Lepisosteus oculatus: one gene and its partner. The protein of the gene in region 1 interacts with the protein of each later gene in a pairwise test. Links are inferred from orthologs where the notes say so. Each region holds a gene or a part of one and is shown in the gene's direction. Other genes may lie near its edges. The genes, in order: protein-tyrosine kinase 6 and fcho1.

Evidence for each region.
Region 2: the proteins of protein-tyrosine kinase 6 (region 1) and fcho1 interact in binary tests that used the Homo sapiens proteins (3 or more experiments, as listed by UniProt). The two-hybrid records come from large-scale screens. The link is inferred for Lepisosteus oculatus from reciprocal best matches to the Homo sapiens genes PTK6 and FCHO1.

The regions. Positions count from the first base shown.
Region 1 is NC_090711.1:5,438,106-5,454,254, forward strand, and holds the start of protein-tyrosine kinase 6, read left to right. Parts: upstream 1-9,470; 5' UTR 9,471-10,100; coding exon 10,101-10,492; intron 10,493-11,366; coding exon 11,367-11,488; intron 11,489-13,199; coding exon 13,200-13,363; intron 13,364-13,905; coding exon 13,906-14,074; intron 14,075-14,888; coding exon 14,889-15,047; intron 15,048-15,188; coding exon 15,189-15,370; intron 15,371-15,831; coding exon 15,832-15,985; intron 15,986-16,149. Other genes in the region: tyrosine-protein kinase Srms, read left to right, coding at 852-973, 1,863-2,029, 3,470-3,617, 5,439-5,597, 6,010-6,191, 6,775-6,931, 7,455-7,654. UniProt on the Homo sapiens protein: Non-receptor tyrosine-protein kinase implicated in the regulation of a variety of signaling pathways that control the differentiation and maintenance of normal epithelia, as well as tumor growth.
Region 2 is NC_090724.1:1,725,094-1,741,514, forward strand, and holds the start of fcho1 (f-BAR domain only protein 1), read left to right. Parts: upstream 1-8,526; 5' UTR 8,527-8,541; coding exon 8,542-8,578; intron 8,579-8,681; coding exon 8,682-8,771; intron 8,772-10,622; exon of another isoform or gene 10,623-10,703; coding exon of another isoform or gene 10,704-10,740; intron 10,741-10,977; exon of another isoform or gene 10,978-11,144; intron 11,145-16,421. Other genes in the region: map1sa (microtubule-associated protein 1S), read left to right, coding at 1-2,148, 2,529-2,752, 3,752-3,907. UniProt on the Homo sapiens protein: Functions in an early step of clathrin-mediated endocytosis. Has both a membrane binding/bending activity and the ability to recruit proteins essential to the formation of functional clathrin-coated pits.

The DNA.
Region 1 (16,149 bases):
ATTTCCACTAGAGATAATTGAAGAGCCACACCGTGTGAATTACACTCTGCCTGTGTGTGAAACAAACCCATTGTACCGATTTTAATAAAGGCTATCTGTTAGCCAAAGGCAATAACAGCATAAGAACATAAAAAAGTACAAGCAAAAGGAGCCCATTTGCATATTCAGCTCATTTGGTTGCTAGTAGTTGGTTGATCTGAAGATCTCACCCAGCTTTTTTCTGGAAAGAAGCCAGGGCGACAGCTTCAACAACATGCCTAGAACGCTTATTCCTGACTCCCACGTGCCTTTGTGTGAAGGAGTGAGTCCTGTTCTCAGTTTTAAATGCAGTTCCCTGCAGATTCCGCTTATGTACTCTGGCTTGTGTGTCGAAGACAAAGATAAGGTTCCTTTTCCCTGTTAGAGTAGGACATTCTGTTGAACTTTTCTGGTTGCTGTTCTTTGGATGGATTCCAGAGTAGCAATGTTATTTTGTAACATCTTGACCAGCCCTATGGACAATGCTCTAGATGAGGTCTTGCTGGGGAACTGTCGAATTTTAACATTAACATGGCTTGAATTAAATTCTACAGTTATAATTACATAGCAACATTCTGTTTGCTTTTTTATTGCTTGGTATAGGAACTGTTGCTCTTCGGACCTTTGTTGAAATACACATATTTTTAGGTGTAATTACCAGATCAGTGTTTCATATTTACTGTTAAAAGAATACTTTTGTTTCCATTTGCTTTTCAGAAATCACCTTGAAATTAGCTGTGTTTATCTCATAGGTTTCCAGAGATTGTGCTGAATGGCCCTATGTGACGAAGTGTAACCCGGCTGTGTGTGTTGGTGGGCGTGTCTTCTTTCAGGTGGTATTATGGGAACATTAGCAGACAGCAGGCAGAGAAGCTGCTTTTGTCATCTCCAAATAAAAGTGGCTCTTTCCTTGTCCGGATCAGCGAGAGTAACAGTGATGAATATTCTATATCGGGTGAGCCTTTTCCTGCCATGTTCTTTTGTAGTACACAGCTACTGTACGCTTGGGGAAAATGCATGGGTGCTTTCAATCTTTCCATTTGGATTAAAATCAGCTTCATATGGGAAAAGAGTACAGTTAATAATTCCAAGATGGGAACCGTTACCATACATCATAGCAGGACTATACAGGTTTACAGGCCCTTTCACAGAGCAGGTTTCAGCAAATTTCAGATAGTTACATTTTTATTTGAGGCATTTGATTTGTCCCAATGTCTAGATATTATTTGGTTTCCGGAAAATAGGATACTACTCCACAAATAATAACAGATTAAAATTGAGACAAAAATGTGATCAGAAGAAAACCCATGGTTATCATCTCTGTTTTGACAAAACTGACTCTACTCACATACAGAACTGTTCATAGCCATAAGATGGCAGAAGAGTACTTGTTACTCTTATACAAACCTGGGACTTAGGTATTCAATACTGGAAATGTCCCATATTTCTGTAAATGCTGCTTTCCTGGGAAATGAATAAATAAGAGAATAAAGAGAAATACATACCTGTCAGGTGAGAATGATTGCATTTAATGATTTTGCTCTCACAAAACAAATAGTGAGACTATACATAAGTTGTTAGACTATATATTACTATACATTACCGGTTGTAAAGTGCTCCACCTGGAAACATGAACTAAGCTCTGTTATGTTACCAGAAAAAACTGATTCATATTGCACAGTTAAACTGAAACCAAATTACCAGACAGCATACAACAGTTTTCACATTCTCAAAGGGCAGCAGTAACACCATGCTATTTCAATCAGAACAGCATGGAGAGGTGGATTGAAATGAAAATAAACTAGAAATGAATTGAACTAACTGCTGTGTCTTCCTTTCTGCAGCTCGGAACGAGGGAAAAGTGCAGCATTTCCGAGTGTATCGCTCACCCTATGGTGCATACTATGTTTCTAACAAAAAGCAGTTTGCTACTCTAGAGGAGCTGATCTGCCACTACCAGGCCAACTGTAAGAGTTTAGGAGTGCCTTTTACGCAAGCTTGTGTGCAACAGGTATGTACATTCACTGATTATTACAGCAAATATATATTTTGAGAGTTTTGCCGCCCATTTTAATTGATACATTCCTAGCATTTACATTTACAATGTAGAGAAAACTGTCATTATCACACAAATGGAAGAATTGATACTGTATGTTGTTAATATCCATGTCTTGTTATGAAGCCTGTAAGTGAAGTTGCTCTTTAAAAGGGATACTTGACTAGGTATTTTTATATTACTCCGGATTTGATACTGTTTATGAATTTCAATGTTTTGAGTTACTAAATTCACATGCAAGCAAATTAAAACTGTTGGCAAGCAAATAACTGTTGAAAATATTTTAATATTGTGAACTGTTATCTTACTTGGACTGGTAGCTCACAATTGTGATAACAATGTGTTAAGTTGTACAACTAGTTATTTTTTAATTTAAATCATAAAGCTATTTACTAAGTGCCTTATCAGTTTTTCCTACTTTATGTATGAATGCATTTAACATAACACCAGTGCTACAGCTAGTTTGTGCTGAAATACTGTAAATAAAAACGAGAGAACTGAATCATTAAAACATTTGCCACTTACTGTAGCTTAGTGTTTTTTCTTCAGTTCCCGCCAGCATTCTGGTTGTGGAGTGAGTAAATTACCTTATAACACTTTGGCCATTGTTTCAATCTCTTTTTCTTCTACTTTGAAAGAAAGGAGCTTTGTGTGAGAATTTCATGTGTGAATCCATTGATGTCCACACCACTGATGATCATTTTAATTTTACACTTTGCGTTTGCTGTAAAGGCACTACACTGATAAACAGATGGCATTTTATATACACAGTGTCATGTATACTGTATTTTTCCTTAAGTCTTTGATGTACTCACTAATTCATTTTATTCTGTGTCTCTGAGACATATCACTTTAATAAACGTCTGCTGTACTTTGTAAACTTTGTGAAGACTGTCCACATACACAAAACAGCAATGCAAATATAATAAGAATGAAAATTGAAAGTAACCAGTACCAGTGTAAAGGGTAGAAAATTGAAGACATGGAAATCTTGCAAATATCTTTTAAACAATCCAACTGCACAATGGCAGAATAGCTAATTTCACAGTTAGTGAACTGTGTGACATGATCAGATCTTTTTAAACCCATTGTGCATGAGTGTGGCTGAACTACAGCAGCATGTCTGTTATCGCTGGTCAATCACAATAATAAAGCCCAGCCAGGCTGTGATGAATATGTTTGGATGGCTGGCACACATTCTTCTTTGTTTTGGGGAAAGAAAAAAAAATTTGAATCTATGTAAGGAAGCTTCAGGGTTCTTATTGTAAGAGAATTCACCTGGAGAGTTTGTATTTGTGCCTCAATCTGATTTATTTCAACAGAAGCTTGGTAATATAAGAACTTCTGTTGATGCTTACTTGCAGTGCTCTGTCTTCGTGTACATTGTTTCTACAGAGGGAGCATTTAAATGCGGACTCCTGGGAAAAACCTCGGGAAGAGTTTGTGCTCCAGAGGAAGCTTGGGGAAGGCCACTTTGGAGAGGTGTGGCAAGGAATCTGGACACCAAAAAAACAAAAGGTGGCTATTAAAATATTAAAACAAGGTGAGCTCTTAATGTGGGAGAAATGTGGAGATGTCTGTCACCCCCACTGTAATTCATATAGTTACAGAACAAAGTCCAGCTTTTTTGCCTTTTTAAAAGGATTAATACATCCATATTGATATAAATGTAAAAAGTACTCACAGCGAAAATAACTTTGTCATTGTTTAACTGTCTGTCTCCGGCCTGGGACAGTTTTAGATACATGGGGTAAGGCTGTCAGTCTAACCAATTCCCTATTTCAGGTGGGTAGCTGCATAGGCTGCAAAGGAACAAGTAATAGGTTTATTCCATGATGAAAAGAGAAGAAAGAAAACTCCACAGCCAAAATGTTTTGTTTTCTTTCTTCTCTTTTCAGCATGGAATAAACCTATTGTTCCAATTCCCTATTTGTTTGTTACCTGACCCACTGAGTCAGACATGAAGATGAACAGCAGAGCACAGTCTAAAAGGTTATGGTAATATCTCAGGTAACTGCACATAATACACGATAGGTTGGCCCTTACTTGATTACTGCAATAAAATCTCTGCTGGAAGGAATTAGTATGTGTTATTACGGGAAAGTACCTCTGTAAACCTTGTTGCTAGGAATAATAGTGCAACATTGACTATGATATCTGATTTTGTGCAATGTGGTTTGAAATCCTTCTCAACAGCAGGTTTTTTCTGCTAAATTACCACTTGGAATTGGGTAACTCATTACACATACATTGATACTTGTCTTAAAGTGTTAATTTATATCTTTCTCATTTTTAAGTTTTTCTTCCTTGTTACGTAACCAACACACTTGCAGAAAGGTTACAGTATATTTTAAAGCTTGTAAAACAACATTTTCTGAACATTGTACTTCTGGTAGTAATCTATAGTAGTTTAATAGTTATTTTAAGGAAAATATGATGTGAGTGTAGTTTTAACGAAGTTTCCCAGATATGTGTGCTATAAGATGCATTTTGTTCCTCTTTTAGTGTTTCACTTAATTATCTCTTCAGTAAAAACTAGTCTATTACCAACTTTCACTGAGTCAGATTTATAATTTATACAGCGCAAGGATTCAGTGTGACAGATGTACAGAGGTATGTTTGGCTCAGTTCAGCGACAACTCTTTTGGTTAATCTCATAAGCTACCTCCCACTCCTTCTTCACCCTTGCAAGAGATTCATGATATACAGAGTAGAAGTCATTTCATGTAGTTCATTTCATTTCTGTTTGTTATTCTGGTATAATAATGTAGTGAAGATTGAGCATAATCTCATCAAAACCAGACACACACTGTACCAAAGTCTCTTAAATGTCAGATGCACAAGATACATCCCTGAAATACTTTTTTATACTGATGTCTCCAAAAAGTCGGGAGACCTTTCTGGAAGGTGGCTTTGTACAGTCCCCAGGAGACAGGTGTGGGTCTGTAATGCGAAACAAGTTTGCCTGTCTTCATTTCATCCAAGAAGACAAAATCCTACAGACTTTAGATAAAGATAAACATAACCTGGGGACACAATTAAAGTCATGATGTTGAGAAAATCCAATGTCTGAAGTATGTTTTTTGGTGAATGTCAAGAGAGAAGCAGTAGTTGTTGGGCACGGTTAGACTTCTCTAGATCCCCTAACCATGGTGATTTCCTGTCATCAAATGGCTAGTGTAGGCAATATTATTTGAAGAATCATACTCAGTATAAAAAATCCAACTAGCTGAGTGCATGTGAATTGAAGCTTGCTAATTTTCCACCCTCTTTGATTTGGTCTTGATAAAGCAATGATTGCATTTCAGGTTGACACGATTAAAATGTACAAAAGTGCACTTTCTTTGTTCTGCATTCTCTGCAGAGGATATGAAACAGGATGAGTTTGTGAAGGAGGTTCAAGCACTGAAGAGCCTCCACCACCCCAAACTGATCCAGCTGGTTGCGATCTGCTCCAAGGGTGAGCCTGTCTACATCATCACTGAGCTCATGACGAGGGGCAACCTGAAGAACTACCTGACCAGTGAGTAAATGAGGGCTCAGAAAATTAGTTCATACAGAAATGGTCAGAAATACACAAAGTTACCTAAGTAAATAGCTGCGGGATTGCGGAAATCTCAGTTGTCAAACTAAAACTAAAAAAAAATTAAAAAAATACCAGCATATGCTGTAATTGTGTGGATGTTTGAAACCTGCTTTCTGCTGTAAGTGTGGAGTTTGAAAATGGTCTTTCTAGAGTATTTTAACAACTGATCTATAAAAAAGATGGAAGCAATTCTATTACATTGTGTTAAAAGTACAGTGAAATTTCCATAATAATACAGTAATGTTCTTGAACTTTTATATCATTCTTTCCAAATAACACATTATAATTGTAATTCTTTGTCCTTTGTATTGCCTGTTTCATACTGGTTGTTTTTTTCCCTTATTCCCAGCACCCGAGGGACACAGACTGTCCTCGGCTCACCTGGTTTACATGGCTAGCCAGGTGGCTGAAGGAATGGCATACCTGGAGGACCGGAACATTGTCCACAGAGACCTTGCAGCACGAAACATTCTTGTGGGGGACAACCTGATGTGCAAAGTTGCTGATTTTGGACTTGCTCGTATCATTAAGGTAACATGAATGCACCCCAAAGATTTCTCTTTCATTTGATTTCATTTTATGTGCTTTGTCACCAAACCCTGACTTTTCAACTAAAGAATTTCTAAAAACTATTGCAGAACTGAGATTTTAATAGAAAGGAGGAAATGTCAGGGATCAACAGTAATATTAAAATATTGGTAAATACCCTTTTCCATTTATTTAAATACACTGCTATACTACAGTATATAGCAACACGGTTTAAATTCTAGTAACTCTGTCAAATTATTAGTAGAAATGCAAAGCTAAGTGCAAGAATAAAGTCAGGATCTGGGAGGGGAAGTTAAAAAAAAATCAAAGCTAGCAAGAATTATCAGAAAAAAACATTTTTAAAATGCAGTGTTTATTTTTTAAAATGATATTGATTTTGTTTTGCAGCATTGATTTTGTTTGTGTATTCTTCACATTTCTCCCACACTGACCCCAGCTATAACTTAAAATATTGTACTAAAGCTGTAACATTGAATCTAAAAATATATATAGTCCTGTGTATCAGAAGCCCTGCTTTATCTCCAGTGAAGCATGTTGACTGTCTGGGCATCTCGGTTTCCTACAGGATAATGTCTACATTTCAAACAAACGTATGCAAATCCCAGTGAGATGGACGGCCCCAGAGGCTGCTGTTCACCAGCAGTTTTCTCCAAAATCAGACGTGTGGTCGTTTGGAATCCTGCTGTATGAGATGATCACACATGGAAAGCTGCCTTACGATGGTGTGTACAAGTCTTCTAGGTCCTCAGAAATCGCACATGAACACAAACATTTTACCATACTCTGATGCTTTCTCCAATACCTAATGTTTCAGATATAGGGTGTGTAGAATCTAAGTGCATTCACACAAGTATTATATAGGTTTAGGTGTACATACTGTTTACAGGATATTGGAAACAGGCAAACAAATTAAATATATAGTCTCTCATGGGTTAATTCAGCAGTTAACAGGGTTTCTTTTCTAAGCACTCCCTGAGATAATGCAGCAAGGGGTGTCCTTCACTTGTGCTCCTTTGCCTGCTGTTTACTCTGTGAAACAGATCTCATTGAGTTAGGTCTGACAGTTAACATGTCTAAAACAGGACCAGTCTTGTGGTGTAACAGGTGCAGTGCTTGTTTGATCTGTGCACTTAGAAGTGCATGGTCTAAATCTGTCAAAAAAATGCTACATTCACGCTAGAGACCTCATCTTTTCTAATGGACTACGAAACCATTCCTTCATGTTGCTTTCCTGTCTTTCCACAGGCATGAGTAACCGGGACGTTTTGGAAGCTCTGGGTAAAGGCTATAGGCTCCCTTGTCCTGCAAGATGCAGCCAGACAATTTACAAAATAATGTTAAGCTGCTGGAATAAAGTGAGCACAAACAGGCCATCTTTCCATGCCTTACGAAGCCAACTTGACACCATCTACACCAAAATGAACATCAAGACTATAGAAGTCTGAAGAGTAGAAGAACTATTGGGGGTAACGTGAAGACCAGGGGACTGGGCTGAAAATTTGCAGATTTATACTTTTTTTATGAAGAGATATGTATAATAATTTTCATACCTAAAAAGGATCTGGTGAGTTTAAATCATAAAAGCTGTCACATGGTCTGCTCAGTAAGGATGAGAAAGAAAACTGTGACCTGGGCCATTATGTCATACCGCTATGGTGTATTCTAATTCAACATTCTCACTAGCCCAGGAACCGGCTCTTCTCAAATATGCAGGAAAATGTAAGGTAGAAGGTTTCCACCTCTTGTTTTTTTTAACACCAGGAATAACCATTATTTCCTTGAGGAAAATATTCAAAATATCTATCAATAGAAACCAGTGGCATGAAACAGAAGGAAACTGTTCTCACTGGACAAACAACACATTCAGTACTTTATTACACATTGGGCTTTGTAGAACACGCCTAACTTAATTTCTGGGTATTTCCTTGAGCTCCAATGTACTTCTTTAGTACTTTATATCATTTATTTTAATTGAACTTGTATATTTTAGCTTTACCAGCTAGTGCAGATAAACATCAGTTTATCCCATGCCTATAGGCTATAAATTCCCAAGGTTTCTGTAATGTGAACAGATTTAACTGTTATTTATGAAATGTAAGTGCAATTGAACTTATTTTTAAAAGGTTACAACATTTAATTTAAATGGAAAGGCCCTTTCCATGTATCTGAAATAATAATTTAAGTATTTTGTGTGACAAATTCAAAACAGCACTGCTACAGAATTTGATGAGGTTGTGATATGGAGCACAAAACAGAGTGGGCATGTGCATGGTGGAATTTCATTGTTACAGGTTTATATCGGCAAAGTTTCTGTGACGTTAATTAACCACACAGGCAATGACGAAGCTTGGGTTAGACTGGTTGAGAAGACAAAATCCAAACTTGTTGGTAAGGTATGGACTGGGAGCAATTATTATAACTTACTCAAGCCCTTCTCCCTCTATTATGGTGAAGGAGTGGAGGGAGGAAAGGGATTCAAGTTATATATACTGTATAGTGTCATACATGTGCGAATTTATGGTATCCATCCATCCATCCATTTTCTAACTGCTTCTCCCAATTCTGGAAAGCAGAGAAGCCAGATTCTGTCCGGGCAAGCAACACGTACAAGGCAGAGAGCTCCCTAGATGGGACAGACACAGACACACACTTGCACTATGGCCAAGTTTCCCTGAAGCCAATTAACCCACCAGTATGTTTTTGGACAGCTGGAGAAAAACAGACCATTCAAAGGAAAGCTATGTGGACTTGAGGAGAACATACAAACTCCATGCAGTGTACACATTAATATAAATGGAAAACAAAATGAATGAAAAGGCCAAATGAGTGTTTTGTATGGTTTGTTCTTTATCTCTCAGGAAATACAGTACTACTTAAAAATGTTAATGCATATTTTTGATTTGAAAAAATAAGGACTTTGTGACTGAGCATGTCTGTATCACTAATTACTTAGCTGCTTGTTTGTATTTTTCCCAGACATGGAGAATAATCTAGTAATTTAGTGCAACACAGGCAGTATTTATATTATGATGAAAATACTTGTGATGATGGTGTATTTTTTAACAGGACTGTGCAAGTACTTTATTACAATATTGTACATTAACAATTAAAGCTTCACCTTTGACTTGACGGGGGGTTTAAAAGCTGTTTTTGTAAAAATGTTCATTAAATTCAATTGTCCATAAAGAAATACAATTTTGGATTACAGTTTATTTTAAAAAAAAAACGCGCGCTATTCTATGAACAGATTCCCCAAATTAGCATTTTGTGTGGGGATGTTGCCGCAGAACGGGTGTCTGTAATGGGGAACTGAACTTGAGTGATGTGTTCAGTATTTTTAATTTGCTGTAGTTAACCCCTTAACCGCTATCGCCAAACAGTAGCTGCAATGAAGTTTGTTTTGTGGACGTGTTTGTTTTGCCTGCAAAATTTCAAATAGCTTTCAGATGGGTGTAGCCGCTGTACTGTATGTTATTTAATCGGATAGTAAATGAGCAAAAGAGCGTCTCTATTGCCGGCACTTTTTTACAAGTACAACAGTCTTTAGCTGGTAGTTATCAAATTGTCAGCGTCTTAAGATTTTACCTGCGTTCTGCTGTTTCCATACGTTATTCGTAGCATTACTGCTCTTGGAATTCTAGACATGCGAACAGGCGTGGTTTTAAAGTGAATGCCGAACGCCGCATAACGAGGAAGCAGAAGTCCAGTAAAAGAAAAGTAGTTTAGTGAAAATACTATCCGCTCCTGTGACGAGAGAGAAATACGCTGCAATGATTATTATTTTGTGGTCGACTTCTTAACTCGCGCTTTCAACTGGAACTAGGCTGAGAACTGGGGAGCTCTCAGAATTTGTTGGGAATTACAGACCGCAGTTTTCTCGAGGACTCTCCTATGGGTGAAACAGTTGGGGGTGATAAATGCCCCTGCCTGCGCAGCCTGCTGGACAGGTGTTATGGCAAGCGTCACGCAAGCGAAGTCCAACCTGACGAGACGGAGAACGGCGAAGCGCTGCGGCAGCCGCCGAGTACACCCCGACTCCTGCCACCGCCGGTACCCGCGTCCAAGGGAGAAACTCCGGACGGATACATGTACACGGCTCTCTGGCCGTTTCACGCTAGAGCTGAAGAGGAATTGTCGTTTGAAATGGGTGACCGGTTTAAGATACTGAGTCGTACAGGTGAATGGTGGAATGCAGCGAAAGTGACTCCCAATGGGCAAATTGTGGGCAAGGGATTTGTGCCCTATAATTACCTCGCTAGAGGGGAGACTGCAGAAGCGCAGCCGTAAGTACTAGGACAAATTCATTTCTGGACGCTTCTGAATAGGGGCCACATGCTTTGTAATTAGTTACTGTAAATAGTTTTTAGCGCATAATACATTCTCTGTTCAGATTCTCTATTAGTACACGTTGAGTTTTCGAAATCCCACTTTTTTTATTAAGCGATTGATTCAAAGACAGGTGTCTAATGATAGGTTCAGTACAGGCAAACAGTATTTAACAGTAATAACAAAGAATGGCGTTGGGATTCGTTGTAGATTTATGTGCATTTCTATATCAAGGTATGAATGGACAACAATAATTTCTTTTTTTAAGGTTTAATATTGCTATATATTGCTATAGTGAGTTAATAATGGTCAGAATGCCATAATGATTAGTAAATCAAATCTCGAATGCAACCGGGTTTTGAGGATTAGTGATAAAACCAGCAGGAAGGTGTGAGTGGTATTTCGCTAAACTGAATGACCTAATAAAATTATTCTGCTTTAATAACTTGCTACTTCCTTTTCCACGTGAACTTTAAAACTGCTTCAGCTTATGAAAAGGTAAATAAAAAAAACGCATTCGCTTCCATGAATAAAGGTTGCCTCACCTTAGAGCTTCACTAGGAACGCGTAAGTTCTTAGTTCTTAGACGCACAATTGAATTTTCCATCTATTTATTATACGCAGTTGATACAATTATCATCACAGATTTAAAAAAAATGACAAAATGTTAATCCCATTCTTCTTTTCAATACTATAACTAACAAAATGTTTTAAGATACTTTGAGGGCGTTTTTCTTTTCAATGCTGTTGTTCAATGCTAAACTTCCGATCTTTCTGAACCCAATGTGTCTTTCGGAGTATCACAAATCACTTTGAAAACCATGATTTCAGATGGTACTTTGGGAAGATGAACCGGTTAGAGGCTGTGAACCTCCTCCTCTCACCTGAAAATGGCAGAGGAACATTCCTGGTGCGTCTCAGCGAGAGAGAGCATGTGGACTATGTCCTGTCTGGTGGGTGCTACTCATCTAGCAAAAACACGTGCTGAGCTCATTCATAGCACTTTATATTATCAGTTGACTGTTTGGGGAAAGGGGCCATAACACCAGGACTTGAAAGTGGATGCAGTTTTGTTAGCTATTGGTTTTCAATGGCATGGTATTCAGACATGGAGAAGATTCTGAACATACTGTATTCTCAGACAAATGAAATATTCTTGCATTCCTATGCACTTCAGTTATCTTTACCATGATGTAATTGGGGTAAAATTGCATTCTTATGGGGACTAAATATTAATTGAAGCAAAGGGAAGGGGATTCAATTTTTCAAAGGCACTTTAGGAGCACAGAGATATGTGTAGATTGCAGGGAGACTGGTATTAAACACCATTTTTAAGTGCTTCTGAAGATTCATGTTTGCTTTGCTAAGCTGAAGCACTTGCTTAAGAAATCCTCAGCTGGAAATCATTTATCTGTAGTTGCTAGTGAACATTCCTTGTAATAAATGATTTTGTTTGGACTGATTTTAATGTTTTTTTGCACTGCCTGTCAGTTTGCTCAGATAAGACAGGTTAGTGACACGTATCAGTAATATCAGTAATAGCAGTCTTGATTTTGTAGAACATACATTACTGTAGTTGTGGTACAAAAGCTGAAATCCTTTAAAAGTTGCTTCTTGCCCACACTTATGTGCAATTAACTTTAGATTTCAATCATTTTAAAAGTGATGACATTCTTGAACACCTCAGCTTAATTCATTCTTTAACACTTAATTCATTTGATATTTCAGTATCTTTACTTCTTTCGAGGGACCATATATTTCTGATGCATTATACTTCTCCTTTCTGGTTTCAGTAATATTTTTAAATAATTCAAAGGCTGAGGCAGGTGTGACACTGACTATCAGACAGGAAGTGTAATTAACAGAGCAATGCCAACCTGACACCTCATTGTGCACATGCAATTCTCTTTTGTTGCATATAATCATGACAAAGTTTAGTCAACCACCCCCAATTTGCATGTGTAGACATACTGCAGTTCAATATGTAACCTTGTGTCTGCCATTAATTTCATGTTTTACATAATGAAATCTGCTTAGGCCTTTGATTACATACAAACATTTAACCACTTGCAATTGCAAATTACAAGTTTGCAGTTTCTTTATAGTGACTTTATAGAAAATCCACAAGCAAGATATTTCTATCTGAGCCACACACACTGATTCCTCAGGCCAGAGCTTATTCTGTTTTTTTAAGCACAAATCAATCAATTTGCATGTTAAATATTCCTGTGGTTAATACGTTATTTCCCAAAACTATTGGTAAACATACAGTATATCATTAATGTTAAACATGTGAAATGGATGAAAAGGTTTATTTTGAATGTTTGTATAACATACCTCCTATCCTGCACTTTTTAAAGGAGGATGTGGGCATGTTTAAAATACAGGATTCCTTCTAAGGAAAACACTATGTTGCAATTCAGGCATAGTCTTGTTTTCAAAATAAAAGTTAACAGGAAGGAAATTATTACCACATTTGGGACACTTCCTCAATTTTTTTTATAGAATATGTACAGAAATTATCTGAAATTGGAACTTTCAATTGACATTAGGTGTTATCTCCCAAGATTAATTGGAAGCTACTGTATGTGGTTCACTGTGATGAATAGGATTTCTAGTTTGGGTTTAGGATTTATAATCTTCAATTTGTAATGTTCTCCACAGTTAAATCTGACAACAAAGTGAAACACTTCAAAATCTTGCAAAATGCAGAAGGGCTGTACTGTTTAAATGAGAGAAACAGCTTCACCACCCTGATGGGTCTCATTGACTACTACAAGACTCACTCCTTTTCCATCATAGAGAAACTGACAGAAGGATGCAGGAGAGTAAGTGCTGTTAGTCATGAAAACTGTGTGAGACAAGGAACTGTTTTTTTTATGCAAAATATAATTTGCGTGTAGCACAACAGTAGTGGTCATTTTATTTTGTGAAACTAGACATCAGTCTAATTGTTGTTCTGGAGATTTTGCACTGCTTTCTTGGGTACTTTCCAAATATGTGCATGCACAGGCTTTATATGAATCTCATCTTAACGTGGTGTGTACCATCATGAAGCCTGGATCTATGGAGCTCGATTAGAATTCTCAGTGTCACTTTGACAATGATAGCTTTAGTCTTTAAGGATAAAATGACCTTCAGGAACTTCTAGGCACTCTATAGGATGTGTTTTTGGTAGGGGCAATTTAGAAAATGCCATCATTTTTAAAATAATTTAATTTTGCTTATCCTTTACACGAATATATCTATTTCTCTGCAGTTTTTGTGGACTTTAACATTATTAAATACATAATCAACAGCTTTTTGAGTGACTTTGAGTTACCCCATCCAGACTGTAGAGCCTGTAACGTAATGCTCATTCTCCCAACAGAAAGAACCTAAACCACAGGATTTATCACACTCCACTGTAGACGAATGGGAGCTTCCTAAAGAAGAGTTTACACTCGGCAAATTGCTGGGAACTGGATATTTTGCGGATGTCTATGAAGGACTCTGGAAAAATCAAGTTAGAGTCGCAATAAAAGTCTTAAAAAATAAAGGTGAGGATTAACAGGCTTATGCATAGTGTATGATTCATGCCTCATGCGTTCATTGGGACAGGGGTTATTAAAGCAACAGTGCTACTAGAGATGTGTGGGTTTGAGATGTCCTCACAGTCACCATCACCTCAATCTCACCTGTATGATACAAGGGTTGAAGCAGCAAGAAAAAGTGAATCACAATTGCTGATTCCAAATTGGGTGGCTCTTACAAAAATAATTGCTGATTGCCATTTTTAAAAGTAAAACGAAACACCAGGAGCTTTGAGAGCACAAAATGGCCATTGTTTGAGTACTTAATTTACTTTATAAACCTGGAGATTGGAGAATGCCCGTTGAAGTAATCAACATAATTGAGAACGTATAGGACACGCTGAAGAACCTGAGTAGTACTTACTTTGGTGTAAGGAAAAGGCTTCAATCAATCCATTATTCGTTTATAAAGCACGTGTTATTAAAATACGTCCCAGTGCACCATCATTCCAAAACACTGCGGCAGACATGATTCTTAAAGTTGTCATACCAAGCCTTTTTGTTTAGGTTTACACAACAAAAGTATTTTGTGGTATGCAGTCTATCTGGTTTAACAGTGTCTCCCACTGGGATTCAGCATGATTCTTTAAAACATATTTTCAAGGTGTATGTTTTGAGCTATATGTATTCAATTACATTGATCCTTTTTTGTCTCCGAATCTACCATTAAACTTTTTAAGTTGTTTGTACATCTCAATCAAACTGAATGCTAGCTTTCCTGCATTATCAAGTCTTTTCTACCAGAGCCCTATTGATACAGTCTTATTTTCCTCTGCTACAGAGAATGTGAATTACAGAGAGTTCCAGTTAGAGACGCAGATACTAAAGAAGCTTCGCCATAAACATCTTATCTCTCTTCTTGCAATTTGCACAACTGAAGACTCCTACTACATTGTCACCGAACTGATGGAAAAGGGGAACTTACTGAATTTTCTCAGAGGTAAGCACTTTTATTGTGTGGGTTTATGACTTTCATTTTCCTTTAAACCTTGTAAAATTGCTTTTTACGTTAGTTATTCACAGTACTAATACGGCATAAAGACAGTCTCTGAAATTGTTCCTTTTTTTCTGTCATCTGTAGGTACAGAAGGCAGGCGGTTGGATATGTCTTCACTCTTAGACATGGCCTGTCAGGTTGCTGATGGGATGGCCCATCTGGAATCCCAGAAAAGCATCCACAGAGATCTGGCAGCACGGAACGTTTTAGTTGGAGACAATCTCATCTGCAAAGTGGCTGATTTTGGGTTGGCTCGGGTGACAAAGGTAGATGAATTAATGTTAATTCTAGTTAACAAAATAATAAAATCAAATAACAAAGGTTGCAAAGAGGGGGCCATTCTACCCATTGTGTGTATTGCAATTGGCAAACAATTACTCTGGGATATAAAAATATAGAGCATGCATTAGGTCAATCTTGCAATCCAAGTTCCCCAAATATCATTGGGCACATTTTCACTCTGTGTCTTAACTCTTATCTGCTCCACTGAAACCATATAATTTACTTTTCCAGCTGCATTAAAACATTGGATTGCCATCTTGCTATTTCAAAGGAGCTGACATATTTGGCAACAATCTGATTGTTCCTCATGCAAACAACAACTGTACATTTAACCCTGCAAAAGTTTGCATTAATGACAAGAAAAATAATTGCATTTTTAAAATCAGAGGTAGGGAAATCAGGCAATACAGGAAAATAGAAGGGCGCTGCTATTTTTCTTTTTCAGGAGCCTTTTTATATCTCTGAAGACAAGAAAATCCCCTACAAATGGTGTGCTCCAGAAGCAATCAGCCATGGGCGCTTTTCTACTAAATCAGACATCTGGTCTTTCGGAGTTCTTCTGTATGAAATCCTCACCTATGGTGGAGTTCCATACCCAGGTACCTGCCATGCTCAACCTTGCTCTCTGTTCAGATGTATTTCTGCATCCCTGCATGTTCTTTTGCAACATTTCATTCTCCAAACAGCAATGACATGTACACAAATCCCAAACCAACAGGATTCGTCACGTGATTGTCTTTCAAGAGACGTGGTTAAAACTCTT
Region 2 (16,421 bases), on another chromosome or scaffold:
AGGAGGAGGAAAAACAGAAGGTTGATGTGAAGCCAAAGACGTCAAAAGAGAAGCCGGCCACCAAGAAGGAGCCGGCCAAAGATGAGAAGAAGGAGGTGAAGAAGAAAGAAGAGAAACTCCCCGCGAAGAAAGAGGAGAATGGAGAGAAAAAGAAGGAAATGGTGAAAAGGGACACTGCGGCCGCAAAACCAAAGAAGGATGTCAAGCCAGAGCCCAAGAAAGAAGTCAAAAAGGAGGTCAAAGCAGAGGAGAGGAAGTTGACCAAGCAACCCGTGAAAGAGGTCAAGAGAGCTCCAGGAGCTGCCGCCTCGGCTGTGGCAGAATCGAAGAAACCGGCTGCTAAAGTTGGGCCTCCAAAGAAAGACGGGGCCCCTTTGAAGAAGGAAGCAACGTCTTCGGCCAAAGGCGCAAAGCTCAAGACGCCAAGAAAGGACACGGACAGCGAAAAGCTCTCTGTTGCTTGTGAGGGGGACGCTGAGCGCTCCAAAATGTCCACTCCGGAGGACATGACGGCAGAGTTCGAGCAGCTGAGAGAAGAGAGCGAAAGGCAGCAGCGGGGAGGCGGTGCAAAGACGGGCAAAGAGGAGTCAACGGACGAGGGCATCGCAACAGCCGAGAGCGAAGTGGAACAGTCGCCTCTCGACAACGTAGCGGCTGAAGGCGAGCCGAGTGGAAATGGAGCTGTGGAGGAAGTTCTGGAAAGCCCAGAGAAGTTCCGCTCTCTGGATGCTATTCCCAACCCCGGTAAGGTGATAGGCCCTCCATCACCCCTGGCTAGAACCCCCAAGAGTGACCGCAGTGTGAACTTTGACCTCACTCCCACCGAGTTCAGGCTCCTGGATGGAGCCCTGAGAGAGGGCCTGCTGAGGAACAGTCAGGAGGACCCATGTGGGAGTTCAGATGAGAAGACTCTGGAGATTGTTTCTCCTCCTGGGTCAGGACCAGCCAGTGCAGGTCATACCCCTTTCCACCAGTCTCCTGCAGAGGATGGTCTGGGATCTGGAGAAGACAGCAGTCAAGGAGGGAAGATGTCCAATTTAGCCTTTGAGGATGGGAGGCCTCTGGGGTCGTGTAGAAATTCAGAGTCCGGCTGCCCTAAAGCTGGCCTGGAAAATTCCTCCTCTTCCCAGGATAAACAGTCAAGCTTCCTTTCTCTGAGCCCATTTAAGGACGTGATGCCTGATGTCTCTCCCACCATCACCACTCCATCCCTTCCAGCAGAAGTTGGTTCCCCCCATTCCACAGAAGTGGATGAGTCCCTGTCCGTTTCCTTTGAACAAGTACTACCCCCAGTCAGTGAGTCTCCCAAAGAAGAGACTGGTGAACGGCCATACACAAATGGTTACTTTGTGGACCCAGAGTCCAAAGTTGGAATGACCCTTCCCTTGCGGACATCTCACAATATCCGGCCTCCAGGTGACGGTTCGGAGGGACGCTTGCCTGGACCACATGCCCTCCTCCCAGAGATACCTCCTCATGATGTGGACCTGTGCCTCGTCTCCCCTTGCGAGTTCAGGCACCCCAAAGCTCTGGAACAGCTCTCGCCTTCCGTCGTCAACCCCAGTCCCCGAGACCTGTCGGACGACAGTGATCTCTCCCAGGAGCTTGCCAAGCCCCTGTCGCAGCGTCGGGCCGGCAACCGCAGATCCCCTCAGGGGCAGGAGACGCCCCCCACCTCTGCCAGCGAGTCCCTCCCCACCCAGTCGGATTCCGACGTTCCCCCGGGAACAGAGGACTGCCCTTCCATCACCGCAGACGGCGGCCTGGACTCGGATGACGATTCTGGAAGCTTCGCGCCACACGAGCGGCCGGCCTCCCGCGCGTCCCATCGGGGCCTTGCGGCCCGGGATCCGCCCCCCGCCCCCCTGAAGGACCTGCCCCCCCTGCCGCCCCAGCCCGGCACCTGCATGGCGGACCCCGAAGCCGAGCAGCAGACGAAGAACGGCAAGGGCGCGGCGAAGGCCAGGAAGCAGGTGGGCACGCCCAGGCTGAGCTCCGCCAACGCGGCGGCGCAGAACACCAAAGCTAAAGGTGCCCAGGGCACTTCCTCCTCCTCCTCCGCCAGGGCGAGCTCCAGCTTGGACGCCCGGCCACCCTCCAGGAACACCGCGGGCGTCTCCAAGACCACTGCAAGACCCTCCACTGCAGGTGAGCGCCAGATTCATTCTTCGGTACGACAGGACAAATACAAGACGAAACGGGGGAAGTAGTAGAGTGATGTGTTCTTCTGACACATGAAGTCGAAACGACGGAGAACCTGCTTTAAATCTCAAGTATACGGCCGTTTCTGATGGGGGGGCCATCCGGGTTCTTCTTCCAGTTTTTTTTTTTCCCCCCCGGTTCTGGAGCTGTAACTGATCTGCACGAGTGAAACATTCAGGCTACGAGTGGTCTGAATTTCAGCAAAACGATGGGTGTTCTGAATTTCCTCTTTTTTCCCCCCCGCATTCTGTGATCTTCCGATCGGCAGCAGACCATCTCTGTCGCGAGCCGTCATGCCTGCTCGTTCTGTCTCCCTCTCCTCCCAGGCCCTGTGGGCGGCAGGCCCCCCCCGGCGGGCACGCCCGTGTTCCTGGACCTGGCGTACCTCCCCTCGGGCCGCGCCGCCGCCACGGTGGACGTGGAGTTCTTCAAACGCCTGCGCTCGTCCTGCTACATCATCAGCGGGGACGAGCCGCTCAAGGAGGTGGTCATGCGGCCCATCCTGGACGCGCTGCTGGAGGGCAAGGCGTTGTGGTCGGGCAGCGTGCAGGTCAGTGGTACCGCCGCAGGTCGGAAGATGGGCTTGAAACGTCCTCTTAGCTTAGCTGGTAGTTACTTTCAGTCAGTCTTTCTTCACGAATTCATCCCAGAGTTCCCCAGGGCCTTGCAGTTAGTGAAGTACCAGTTGACAACCTGTTCTCCAGACAGATGCCATGAGCAAGTGGGCAGAATTTCTAGACGTTGAGCCGCTGTGCTCATGTGCTGTCAGGCTAGCTGCTGATGTCACAGTGTGGTATAGGAACCGCTGAGCTCATGTGGCAGAAAAGGAGAATCTTGCTGTCCTGATCTACAGTGGTTCCTTTTAGCAAAGATGTTAAAAATGATGCAGTTCTTGTTTACTTTAATTCTGTATATACTGAGCAATCACACTTGTGCATTTGTTTTTAGCACCAAGAATATATGCATATTATAAATATTTTGGATACAGTTTAATCCAAATGGCACCAATATATTGATCGTCTTTTTCGTCCGCGGCTGGTCATGGCATGCTTTACTTCCTGTGGGTTCATCCTAATGTGCTAGCGTTCCAGCAGGACAAGCGTGTCCTCGTGCTGCTTGTGACAGCTGGTTTCCTGGGTGGTGGAGGTTTGAAGTAGGGCATCCACAGGGGGACTGTCACCAGGTGTGAACCCCAATCGAGCATCGGTGGGATGATCCGGGGCGATGTGACGTCCCGGGTTGAGTCCAGTGAGCAGGCACACGCCAGTCCCGGCTCTTCAAGAGGAATGGGACAGGACACCGCACACATCTGGTATTCCTTCCAGCCTTGGCCACGCACGCTGCTAACCTGTGCGTTTCATTCCTGCCCATCACAAATGGTAACGGGCAGAATGAAATGCGGTGGTGGTGTTTGATGTTCAGTATATACGTCCACAAGGTGGCACGGCTTTAGACAGCACCTGGCAGGAAATCGCCAGCAGGAACAGAAGGCAGCTCTGAACGCCGAAGAGGCGTGAGGATTCTCACTGCCGTCCCCTGTCTCCTCCAGGTGACCCTGATCCCGACCTTTGACTCGGTGGTGATGCACGACTGGTACCAGGAGACCCACGAGAGGCAGCGGGAGCTGGGCATCACGGTGCTGGGCAGCAACAGCACGGTGGCCATGCAGGACGAGACCTTCCCAGCCTGCAAAGTGGAGTTCTGAGGGCAGAGGAGGCTTCCGGCCCCCTCCCCCCCCCGCCTTTCCTCCCCACCCCCCTCCCTCGCGCTTCGCGGCCGCCGGTGCCGCGTGCCTGGTCACGAAACTCCCCATCCCCCCGATCAGGACGGGGATCCCCAGGCAGCTTCGCACCCCAGAGCAGCATGACGGCCGCCGTCCAGCCTGACCAGGCCACGACGGGCTCCCCAGTTCCCCGAAATCCGATCTTCATTTCCACGTTCGCAGCCGCCCTTGACCGTTTCCTGTCGCGTTGCCCATCTCCAGGGGGTTGGAAAGGCGGCTGATTCTGGGGAACGGGGCCGTTCATCACTCCTTTGTTACACTCCTACTCTTTTTTTTCCCCCCCTTGAGGCCGTGGGAATTCATTGCTGCCTTTCAGAACAATCCTCTTTTTGGGGGGGGGGGGGGGACTTATCTTAATTGCGCACTTGCACGGTTTTCACAACGAAACCAAACTGGTCACTAAAAGCATGAGTCTGTAGGGTCTCGGGAATGAATGGATCGTCCTGCGGGGGGCGCACTTTGAGCGGGACTGCAGTGTCAGGACAGGGGCGTAAAGGCGTCTCCTGGTTCGGCCCCCCCTTTCCGCCAAAGCGTTCCCACCTCAGCTGCGTGCTTCCGATTCGGAACGAGTAAACCGCCCGAGAGCAGTAGCAGCTCAGCGGGATCCGGGGCTGGTTTCACCTGCTGGGGGCGAGAGGGAGGTGCCCACCCAGGCTGTGAGCTGAGCGCTGCAGAGAGGAAGGCTCTCCAGCTCGAAGCAGTGAGGCGGGCGGGGCTGTTCTGGGAAGGCCTGGTCTGGGCTGTCTGTGGGAGAAGTAGGTCGTGGAAGGATGAGCAGGAAGTGAAGGGTGTTGGGTTTTGCACCGCGGAGCGGGGGACGGGATTGGGCCGCGGGGGGTCGATCCCGCGGTGCTGGAGGAAGCGTGACGGCCGACGCATCCCCGGTTGGCGAGCGCAGCCGTGTCGCGGCGACGAGCTCCTTTCGGGGGGGCGCGGTTCGCGGAGTTTGGGCCGGTGCCCTCAGGTGGACCCGGAAGGCCATGGCTGTGTTTCTGGCGGGACGCTGGCTGGTTCGGGGCGGTCCGATCGTCAGGTCGGGGGTTCCTGAGGGTTAAAGGGGCTGTGGAACTGCCTGAAACAAAACCGTCGTCGAGCGTGTTTTATAACCACATTTTAGTAGTTGTTCTGTGTCTGTGATCTCTAGGTGCCACACGTATCTCGGAGGGAATGTCATTTAAAGTTGCACACGCAAGACTTTTTTTATAATTAAAAGAGGAAGTAGCAAGAGCGTAATTAGCAAGAGTTGGAAGACGTTTTATAGGACAGGGTTCGCTTCCGATTTTTTTTTTTTATATTTATACATATATTTGAGCCTGGGTTGCGTTAGTGCCTAAATGTGAAATATTTACACAAATGTAACAAAAAAAAAAATCACCACATTTATCATCACCTAGTCCATTTGTCTGTGGTGTTCTGCTGTAGGGTAGCGAGCTCATATTCTGTGAATTATCAGTGCGTTTTAGCCTGTCGTACTCTGCATGCACTGTGTTAGATAGTGTGCAATACGGTGAGGCAGGGGGCTGCTCTCATCCTTCAGGGCTCTTCCTGATCCCATAGCAAAAGGCTTTTTCGGACACTTTTTAGTTTGAGACAATTTCCGCTAAAGGTGAATATGTCAGTCTCAGTCTTTTAACACAGAAAGCGCGATCCTGTGTCATGAAGAGCGAAACAATTCAGTCACTTTTTAAAAAAAAAAAAAACTCTTTTTGGAAACTGTGATCTTCAGAAACATTGCCAGTTAAAAACAATCGGGGCCGTGCGGGATATCGCTGCGGAGTTTAATTAGGCCGAGGTCTCGTTACCGCTGGGATTCCCTCCAGACCATATGAAATGAAAATCTGGCTCTTTTCTGTTAATTTTGTTTTTGGTGGGTTTTGCAGCTGCCTGAAAATGATGTCTGAATATTAAATTATTACAGAAGCTTAAGAAAGAGTCTATTGTGGATATGGACATAATTTCCAGAAGTGTTGTTTTACTGTTTTTTTCTTCCCTGGAGATTATGGCTGAAGATAACGGTGTCAAGGCCTTGAAGTGCATTAAGAGTGGATGAAAGAGTTCATTTTCATTGGGAGAGATCTGTGCTGTGTCTGTGTGCAGGTTGTCAAGGTGACAGCTGTGGCCTAGCCGCTCCCCAGCGATTCTCGAAGCCTGGGGCTGTTTACAGACATGGCAGAAGATCCAAGGATGAGCCCTTCACACAAGGGCTCTCTTTTTAATTTAATTTTGTTTAAGTACTCGACATTGTAATGTAAAGAGGGAAAACAAATTCCATCGCCCGCTTTATTTATTTGTCTGTTTGCTAATTTATTTTTTTTAAATCGTTTCCTTTGGCATTGTTCTGGGAACCTCACAATCCTGATTGTTTCAGCTGTATTACAGTTACTCTGCTGAGTCCTCTGGATTTCAAGACCGTGAAGGGCGTCTCGTGCTTTTCTGTGAGGAATTCCATCGTGGGGAGCGCCTCGGAGAAAGATTCTCATGTGTGCACGTCTGTTGTCTGGTACCATAGAGACAGCATGGTTTCAAAAATCAGTATCTTTTATTCCTGAACCATTGTTGATTTTTTTTGTTCGGTAGAATATCTACCTTGATTTTTTAATAGAGCTGGCTGTATAACACAAGTGACATTCGATAAGCTTGTATTAACATGGTTCTGTTACTCAAAAACACCTGATCAAACGCGGCAGTGATCCCTGTTTTAAAACGACTGTGGGGGAAAAAATCTGTCATTGCTTATGTGCCACCTAGTGGTCACGTTGTGAAATTGCAACTTATTGTTCTGTACCCCCTTGGAAGTCTTGTTCCGGGAGCCGAGCTGCAATTGCTTACCTGAAAATCCCCTTACTGTCATGTGAGACTGAAACTAAAATCTGTCAAACGCCATTTTCTGTGGTGTAGTTCAAGCTATCGTTTAAACCCGAAACTGGCTTAGGCTTTTCTGCAGACGTTTCCTTTCCTGAGGCGTGGTATTTTTTGTTAAAAAAGGAAACAAATGTCATTTGGTTGCTTACTGCAGAGTATTTTTGACATCTGTGTCTGGTACTTAGACTGAATGTCTTACTCTGCTGCACTGTACGCTGATTACCATATAAGGCAACTCAAGTCCGCATCTTAAGCTAACAGTATGACCCAGCATGCACCACTCTCACTGCTGGCTGTTTTTGTATGTGAGGCTTTTGGCCTTGAACACTTTGTCTAAGACGCTGTCTGCAGCAGCTGTGGGAAGAGCTGACTTGAACCTGACATGTTTTTAAATGTACCTGTGACCCCCCCCCCCGAATTTCTGAAGGAAAATCAAATCCAGTTTTTGTGCGATCTCTCCGTGCAGAAACCACAGTAGGTCTTTACCTTTTGTCCTGCATCATGGCAGAAGGGTGAGGGATTTTCTTACTGAATGTCCAGGCTTTCAGAATCTCACTCGGCACCAAAAGGGAGTGAAGTCATAGCAGAGAGATGAAGTAAGTTACTATGGTCAGTAAACGCCCCCATTTGGGGGGGTGATGATAGAGGACAGGTATTGTTGAGGTTGTCTAAGCAACCACATGGTTGCAGTAGAATAAACACTGAGGAGTAAGAGGTTGCCCCTGAACCCCTGAAGATTTAGGAGAAAAACTATTACAAAAGATATTTTGATGCAATGAACCAGAAACAAACTTTGGAAATTGCAAGTTGCTGTTTTTTCCTCCCTTACACTAGTCACCTTTGGTTCAGTCTTTCAGGGCAGTGTTACTGTTCTTCACATCCAGCTGTTTGCAGCTGTCTGGCTGCTGGAGCACACGTAGTGGATCAGCAGCAGGACCATGTTCACGGGCGATCTCACCAGGTTCTACAGCAGGCTACTGTCTGTCGTGTGTGAAAGTGGGGGAGCTGTGTGTACTCTGAAATGAAGGCTGATGACTTGATTCAGTATTGAACACTAATCCTTTTTGTTTTATTTCCAATAAATATGCTTCTTTTATAAATCACTTAAAGGTCTCGTTTTGTTTTTTCACTATTCGGTTCAGGTAACTGAGTTCCAGTGCCCACAGGTGCAATGGGGCAGCAGGCTGACCTTCAAAAAAACAGTCAGAATCTGGATCATCATTGGCATGGTTTTACCTCTGCCCATTGCTGGCCGGGTTCACTTTATCCAATACGGGGACACCTGGGGTTAGAAAATGGATGGATGGAGTAGTTGGTATGAAGGCACCAACAGGATGGGTATTTTTTCCCCAATACAAATTGCTGTATTATTGTGTTGTAGAGTTAAAAAAACATTTGATAGAGGGGTAAAATGAAACCCCATTCAGGTTACTATCCGTAAAGATCACTACAAAATTAATGAAACGTTTAGTTTTAGAAAGGGACGAGTCTACCGTGTCAGGAGTCGTGCAGGAGGAGGGCGGGACAGTGACTCCCGTCTTCCCCCGGGCCCCGCCCCCGCAGCGAGGGAGCCTCCGATTGGCTGGGCGGCTCCGGATGTTGGGAGGCAGCGGGATGGTTGCTGTGGCAACAGCTTGCAGGTGCGGGGAGCCCAGGTGCGCCGCCCCCCCCCCGTCGGAGACGACACCTTACCCATGAAGGATTTAGATCAGACAAAAACGACGTGTTTCGGTTTGTAAAAAAACAAAACAAGTCCCCTTTCAACGTGAACTCGAAAAAGGAAGCGTTCAGGATGGGTTTATTTACAGTCTGCGTGCCTGTCTGTCTTGTTCAGTCGATCCGGTTCGAGCCCTGCTTGGGGAGTTCCCTGGAAGAGGTGAGGGGCACCAACAGGACACATCGGGAAGTCACGCTTTTCGGACAGGTGAGCCCCCTAGCAGACTCGACTTCAAACCACTACACGCGTCCTCGGCGTGCCGGTGAGCAGGGTACGAGCCAAATCCAGCTTCTCCCGACCGGCCACACAGCGTGTGGATACTTTAAGGAACCGTCTTCCTTGGTTTAAGCAGGTATGCCAGCCGGGGACGATTCACACCGTTCAGCGGAACGGGAGCCCTAGACCTAGACCTACCCCAAGCTGCTACCCTCAAATGCAGGTGAAGGCGAAGTCCATACCGGAGCTCATCTCAGCGCCAGGCGCAAGTTTTTTTTCGCCCTGTGGGGCGGAGCGGCGGCTCTGTGGCTCAGGACCTGAGCCTGTGGCTGGAAAGTTGCCGGTTTGAATCCTCCTCCTCCGTTGGGCCCCTGAGCAAGGCCCTTAACCCCAGCTGCTCCAGGGGCGCTGTACAATGGCTGACCCTGCGCTCTGACCCCCAGCTTCTCTGTCTGTCTCATGGAGAGCGAGCTGGGGTCTGCAAAAAGACAAATTCCTAATGCAAGGAATTGTATAGGGCCAAGAAGGTGATCTTATCTTATCCTGGGCTCTGGGTACTGGATCCGTGATACTGGTACGGATAGGTTGTGTTTGATGGTCGGCTGTCTTGATCCTTGATGCGTTTTAAAAAGGGCAGATCAATGATAGTAACATCAGCACCGTTAGAATAGCCTTCTTCATCATCGACCTGGGAGGAAGAGATCGTGACTGACCTGACCGTATTTGTAAGGGTCTCCCGCCCTCTAGTGGACAGAGTTCGGTAATGCGCCCATCAGCACCTGCCTGGCGTGACCTTGAAAATGATTTGCGTACTCTCAAGTTTTTCATTTATGTAGATTGTGTTCACAGTGTTTTGCATTTTTGTTCAGAAACTGCAATAGTTCAGGTTTGAAGTTCAGTTGTGTGCTTACGAATTTAAAACATTAATAGCTGCATAAATATTTATTAAGAAATCAATAAACCAATTGAATCATACATTGTGAATGATTTTGCAGTGGCCTTCAAAAAGTGTATATTTTATCCAAAGGAGTCTCTGAATAAAACATTTGCCGTAATAAAACCGACCCAACGATTAAAATACATCTCCCGCTTACTTCGTAGCACATAATGATAAAGTTTTTTTTGTTTTTCAGTCTTCGGAATTAAGCACAGAAGGTCGTTTCGAACAGGGGAAAATGTTAATTTGTCTTTTAAAATTAGGCCACATTGCTGGATGAAAGCTATACTTACTAGTAACATTTACACTAATTCCCAGCTTTCTTGTCACAGCGATGAATTAAAACGCAACTTGGAATATTTGTACACATTTCGGGAAACAAAATCCGGCGAATTCTCGTTATAATCTGATCTTCTTTGAATATAATAAAACCGAAAAACTGTCAATAAAATAGAGTCCCGTCCATCCATTTCCTAACCGCTTTACCGAATTCGGGCTCACCCTGGACGGGACTGCTGTCCAATCCACACACACACACACACAAGGGCCAGTTTTCCCAGGAGCCAAGTAACCTACCAGCATGCTTTGGGCTGTGGGAGGAAACCCACGCTCCACGCAGACAGCACCCCCGGAGCTGAGGCGGCGGTGCAGCACAGGACAATTGAAAGCTCCCGCCTCCCGCGATTCCAGCACAATGACGGCTGTTCTGGCCAATAGCGGCCGCGCTCCAAGGCTCCCCCACAGGTGGGCGGGAGCCAGGTCCGGCAGCCCAGCATGGGATTGGTCGGGAGGCTGGGCTTCGGGCCACGCCCCCCGGTGGTTACCATGCCTACGGCGCATCTCACCCAAGGATGGGGACGGACGGAGCCCGTGGCCAATGGGAGCGGCGGTGGGCGGGGCCTGCGGGCGGCGAGAGCACTGTGGGTTGGAAGTGTAACAAGACAGGACTTTCCACGCGCTAGCGGAGGGAGGACAGGTGATCGGGGATGGAGGATGAGCCGTTGCGTCTGAAATCATCTGCAGGTAATCGGGGGGGAAAAAAATCCCGAAAACCGCTCGGATTTGATAGAAAAGTGCGAGGAACTACGTCTTGCTCGGCAAAAAAAAAAACCCATTACCCATTAACGCCCTGTTCGGTTGTGCGCATTTTATTTGGTTTAACCGCGCGTCTTTCTTTCAAAGAAAACCTCGAGAGGGAGGTTTTCCGCACGCGGGCGGTTCGAGGCGGCGAGGGGGCGCGAGCCGTGGAGACTCGGGGTGGCTCGAGACGCGGCTCCGTCAACTTCCTCCGGCTCGCGGGGGACCCGCGCGCTGTTGCCCTGACAGTGGCGCGAGCCGGTCGCGGTTTTTCGTAAATGAATAGTCCGCTGGGATCGGATCAGCGTCAATCAAGTGCGTTTTCAGGGGCTGTAACTGCTCTGTTTCAGGTACGAGTGTCCCCGCTAGGGTTGTGTCCGTGCGTTGTGGACCTGCCGTCGTTTTTCTATTTCTTAATATTGATGTTAGCCCGTTAGTAAGAATCTCCACTGTCAATTTCTAACCGACTGTCTGTGGTTGTGTCGCGGTGTCTGTTCGCAGTATCGCAGGAGTGGTACACACATGAGACGGTACACTTGTCTTCGCCAAGAGGCGCCGACTGACGGTAAAACCGGGAGCCGAGTGTCTGGTCCGCTCCGGCCGGGTCACTGGTCAGCGGGAGAGCTGACGGGTCACACCGCTGCCCTCGGCGGTGGGGAAAAACAGTACACTTTCAGAGCTTACTTGCTTCAATGGCCCCGTCTAATTTGGGGAGGTTATGTCGTCGAAAATAAAAGCCTCTCATTCTGAGGTAGCCAGGGGTAGACTGTCAAAGAGTTTGGTCTTTATTCTGAAACAGGAGGTAGCCCTGGTTTTATATACAGTATGCATTCGTGAACAGACACATGCTGGTACTTCTTCGGTTTTGTGTTTCTTTTATCTTAATCTTTCAACAGGGGGTGGACTCTGGTCTAAACATTGTGAATGTAAGAGGTTTTAAAGGGAGTGGCAGGAGGCACGGCGATTAGGACCGCTGCCTCACAGCACTGTGGCCCCGGTGCTGTCTGTGTGGAGTTTGTATGTTCTGCCTGCGGTTGTGTGGATCTCCTCCAGGCGCTCTGGTTTCCTCCCACAGCCCCAAAACACACTGGCTTCTGGGGAGACTGTCGGTGCATGTCTGTGTCTGCACAGGGTTAGAGTGCTGTTCACTTTTTCCCAGAAAGTATAGGTGGCTGTTGTGGAAAAATTGTTGACCTCCCCCTTTTATCGTTGTTTTTTTTTTTGGGGCTTGATTTGGCCCAGGAAAACCGGGAGAATTGGATGCTGTGTCTTTCTGTGCCTGTGAAATCTGTGGCTTTCTTCTGTGACGCTTTTACAGTTGTCCTCCCACTCGGCTGACGAGCCGGTGCCATTCACAACTGATGCACTCACCCAACAGACGTGTTTCTTTTTTTCTGGTTGGGGAAAAGCCAGCAGTGCACAGCGAAAGTGAGTAAGCGATGTGAGACTATGAGCGCTGTGTGTGTGTTGGACTGATCCTTCCACCATGCATCCTTGATGTCAGATGAGTCATAGGCGCTCGGCTCCCTTGGTCTGGGCCATGTGACTTCCTGATCCAGGCTGTGGGTCCTTTGAGGGTTCGTTGGTGCTCCCCTGGACGGCGAGATGAAACCGCTCAATCTCACTGCCGCCACCCCCTCACTCAGCAGGGGGCTGTTGAGGCACCTGCAGCCGCTTCTGAGTTATCATCACACGTCATCGATCGATTAGAGCTACAGAGCTAAGATGCATGTATTTTTTTTTTGGGGGGGAGGAGTTGCTCCTCACTTTGAACCCACGAGTAAATTTCAGTCTTGGGAAGAACGTTCCGGAAAAAGAAGTTGAAAATTGTTCCGGTACAAATTATGCAGGCAAGAATGTATTGAAAGTTACAGGGTCATTCAGTGCATCGGGGTGCTTCGTTATCTAGAGGGCATTTAGAAGTTCGCCACCCAGCACATGAACTGCACAAGAATTGCCTCCAGCCTTCATTTTTAAATTCACGGCCACGTTTCCAGGAGTGCTCCCTGGTTCGTGTTTCTCCGCGCATCCTACAGAAGTGTCCCGGGTCGGAATGTGCTCGGTGTCTTTGAGAATCAGGTCCCCTCTTCTCTGTTCGGTACTGAAGAAGTTCAGTCCCGTCAGCCTGTCGGTGCAGGACAGTCCTTTAAAACTTCAGAGTCTATCTGGTTGCTTTTCTCTGGACTGATTTTCTGTAACCTTGCAAGATATGGCTGCTCTGGGATCGGCCCGGAGAAGGGCAGCTGGGTGCGGGAGCTCTGGGGAGAGCCATCTCTTAGTTAGTGGAGGTGTTCACTGAGGTGTGCCTTGGCTCTGTTTGTGCGTTCGCTCCCTGCTGTGGCTTACAGCAGAGATGTGTGAGGAGGGGCATCGTGTAAACGTTCCCCGGTGAGGGAGCTCCTCCGATCTGTGAGCTCCGCCGCCAGTGCAAGCAGGCGTCTCCCCCGAGGGGGTTACAGGACCCCCCCATCTAGAGAATAAAACTAACCATGAGTTGGAGGTGATTGGAATGAGGGGTGAAATAGCCGGCCTCTCCGCCACCGTCGCAGGTTGACGTCGTCCTGTTTTTCCGGAGCAGCCGGGCAATTGTTAATCCATGAACACGAGCCCGCTGGGCGTGCAGAGCCGGAGGGAGCAGGGCTGCCGGCAGGCTGGAGGGGGACCTGAGCCCCCGGTCTCTGCCAGATGGAGGCAGGGTGCAGGTTTGCGCGGGGGGGGGGGGGGGAGGCCTTACCCCCCCCCCCCTCGCGTGCGGGCCGCGGCCGCGCTTCAGATCGGTACGCCTGGATGCACGTGCTGATACAGTTACCGTGTGACGGCGGCGCCGCCCCTCCTGCGTGTCCAGGCTCGAGTGTGTGGAGATCTTAGATGTCGCGTACGCTGTGACTCCTTCGCATTCCAGGAAAAAAAAAAAACCCAGCTTGGTGGGGCTTTTGGGTCAGCGAGTTACTGGAAACCAGACAAGCTGTGTGCACAATGTAGTCTTCTGTTTGGGACGGCTGCGCTGGGAGAGGGCAAAAACTATATAAAGCAGGAATTCCCAGAACGCTGAATGCTAATTGCAAGGATCGGTATCATGTAATACTACACGGAAAGATCTTCTTGCTCCGGAAGGAGGGATGAAATCAGTCGCCAGAATACTCAACTCCATAAGCTTTGGATGTTTCTAAAGAGATGTGTGATTATAAATTCAGAAAGTGCTGTTAAGTAGATGGGCTGCACAGTGGTGTAGTGGTCCGCATTGCTGCCTTGCTGCGCTGGGGCCCTGGGTTCAATTCTGGGTTGCTGTCTGTGAGGAGTTTGTATGTTCTCCCCGTGTTTCTGCGGGCTTCCTCTGGGTGCTCCGGTTTCCTCCTGCTGTCCAAAGACGTGGTGGAGGGTCAGCTGGCTTCTGGGAAGACTGGCCCTGGTGTGAGTGTGTGTGACGTCAGCGAGAGACGAGCCACACCTCCAAGTCAGAGTGAACTCCCCCGCAGAGCACTGTGCGGGACTTGCACCATGTGGTGTGATGCGCGACTCTCAAGGTGAAGCACGTTGGAGAAGCAGGTCTGGGGCGCTCATTCTGGCCCAGGATGGTGTGGGAGTGGCTGCTGGAGTGTGTGTTTTCATCATCAATTAATCGTCTAGTGTGATCAACTGATTTCTGTCTAGTCAAAAAGGTAAGCAAGTTGCATGTTGTCATGGGGGCTGAAGTTGTACCTTGACGTGGGGGTTTGCAGTCATCATCTTGCACTGGACTGTTAGAGCTCCGCTGGAGAGAAATGTAGAAGAGACTGTTCCCCCAAGACCAGCACGGGGAACCACTGGTGTAAAGAAGCACCACCTATTCTCAGTCTTAAAATCATTTCCTGTTCATTTCCACTTGCACGTCGTGTCCTCGGGCCTGTTGAGCTGAAGTGAGTAGGCAGCAGCGTCGTGCAGGCTGCAAGCTGCAGTGCGTACCACAGTAACTCGGCTGAAGCCCTGCTGCCTGCGTGTGAGAGGGTGAGCAGAGAACCGCAGCGTACAAGGGCACAGGCAGGTAATTAAATGGTCTTCACACCTCACCTCTTCCAAGCAGCTGAAAAGCTGGGGTGTCTCAGTGAGACCCCCAGCCCACAGGGCACATGCATTTACAAGCATGTCATGCCAGCACATCTGCGTGCACATCAGCATTACTGGGGGGAAAACAAGGGTCAAGTTATCTCTGCATTTTTTTACCAGTGAAAACTTCTTGCTTGCCGTAAGTCTGAACAGTTTGTAATTCCAGCACTGAAAGCCCCCAGGCACCGAGCTTCCATTTTAACTGTGTTGAGTTGTTTTATATCGGAAACTTATATGTCAACGAATCATGGTATTGGCCTTCTCGCATGTAACGTATTCCGTGATCTTGTTGTGATCCACGTGTACGATGATTTTTGATTAATCTTCGTTGGCTTGCCTGTTGCATTTCTTCTGTGCATCAATATAATAGAACATACTGTAGGACAAGAATACTGCCCCTCCCCCAAACTGCATTCTCCTTCCCTGGCCCTTTTATTCTAACAGTGGTGTCCTGTCTTGCAGGACTTGGAATAAACACAAATTGGTTCTTAGAAACGTCAAGCGAGACTGATAACTGTTACAGGATGAAGAGAGAGCAGGTGTTAATATTTGCTCGATCTTGCAGGGTGTTTTTTGTTACAGAAATGGCTTGCCAGGCTGATGCCAGTTTGGGCCCTCTCTCCTCTCCCTCTCTGTGCCGCCTGTGTTGACGCAGGCGACAGATGGGCCAGTTAAAAATTGAGGATGCCTTTAAGGATGGATCGTTTGGCTATCTCTTTCCCTTTTCTCCATATGTGGGATCGGCGCTGCTGTCCTTGTGCTTCTGTCCGTGTTTTCCTGGCTGGTGCTGAATGAGAACAGCGCTGCCGGATGTGAGGGAGAGGGCTGTGGGCAGTCCGTGTTCCTCTCCGGCCCTCGTTAGCGCGGTGATGAAAAGGCTCTGTTTATCGCCGTCGAGGAGGGAGGGAGCCTCGCTGGAAAGAGCCTGGTCAAGTTTCTCTCGAGTGGTTTGAATTGCCCATGTGTTTCTCGTGAGCTGCTGTTTGCTTCTCTGTCACCACTGGCATGCCTAGTCTTTTTCTGCAAAGAACTGGTATCTTCCTGCATTTATTTCAAAACTCACAATTTTTCATAACGTTATGTGCATAGGCTTTGAGCAGTCTGTCTACTACATGTGATGCAGAGTAGACGTTGCAGACGTAGGGATGGCCAATCATGTATGATCAGCTCGTGACACCCAGGTGGGTTTTCACCTGAATACATTGTGCAAACGGTCATTAACTGTGCGTGATCAGTGTTTTCATCTTTTAACAATATGCATGCCTTAGAATAACCTCTGCCATACCTAGAGATTTCTATATTCTTTTAGATTTTTTTGCTTCATTGCTTTGTTAAAAGGGCTTAAATTATGAAGTGCACATCTGATATGGTTGGTGACGGTTCCCGTGTATCAGAGTCTACTGATTGCTGACATTTTTTTTGTCTCCTTTTTGTCAATCTGTAACGTTATACAGAATTAAATAAAGGCCCATTCAAAATTTATAGATTCTTCCCATTGTTGTAAATGAGACCTGTTTAAAAATTCCTGGAATGAAAGGCAGACA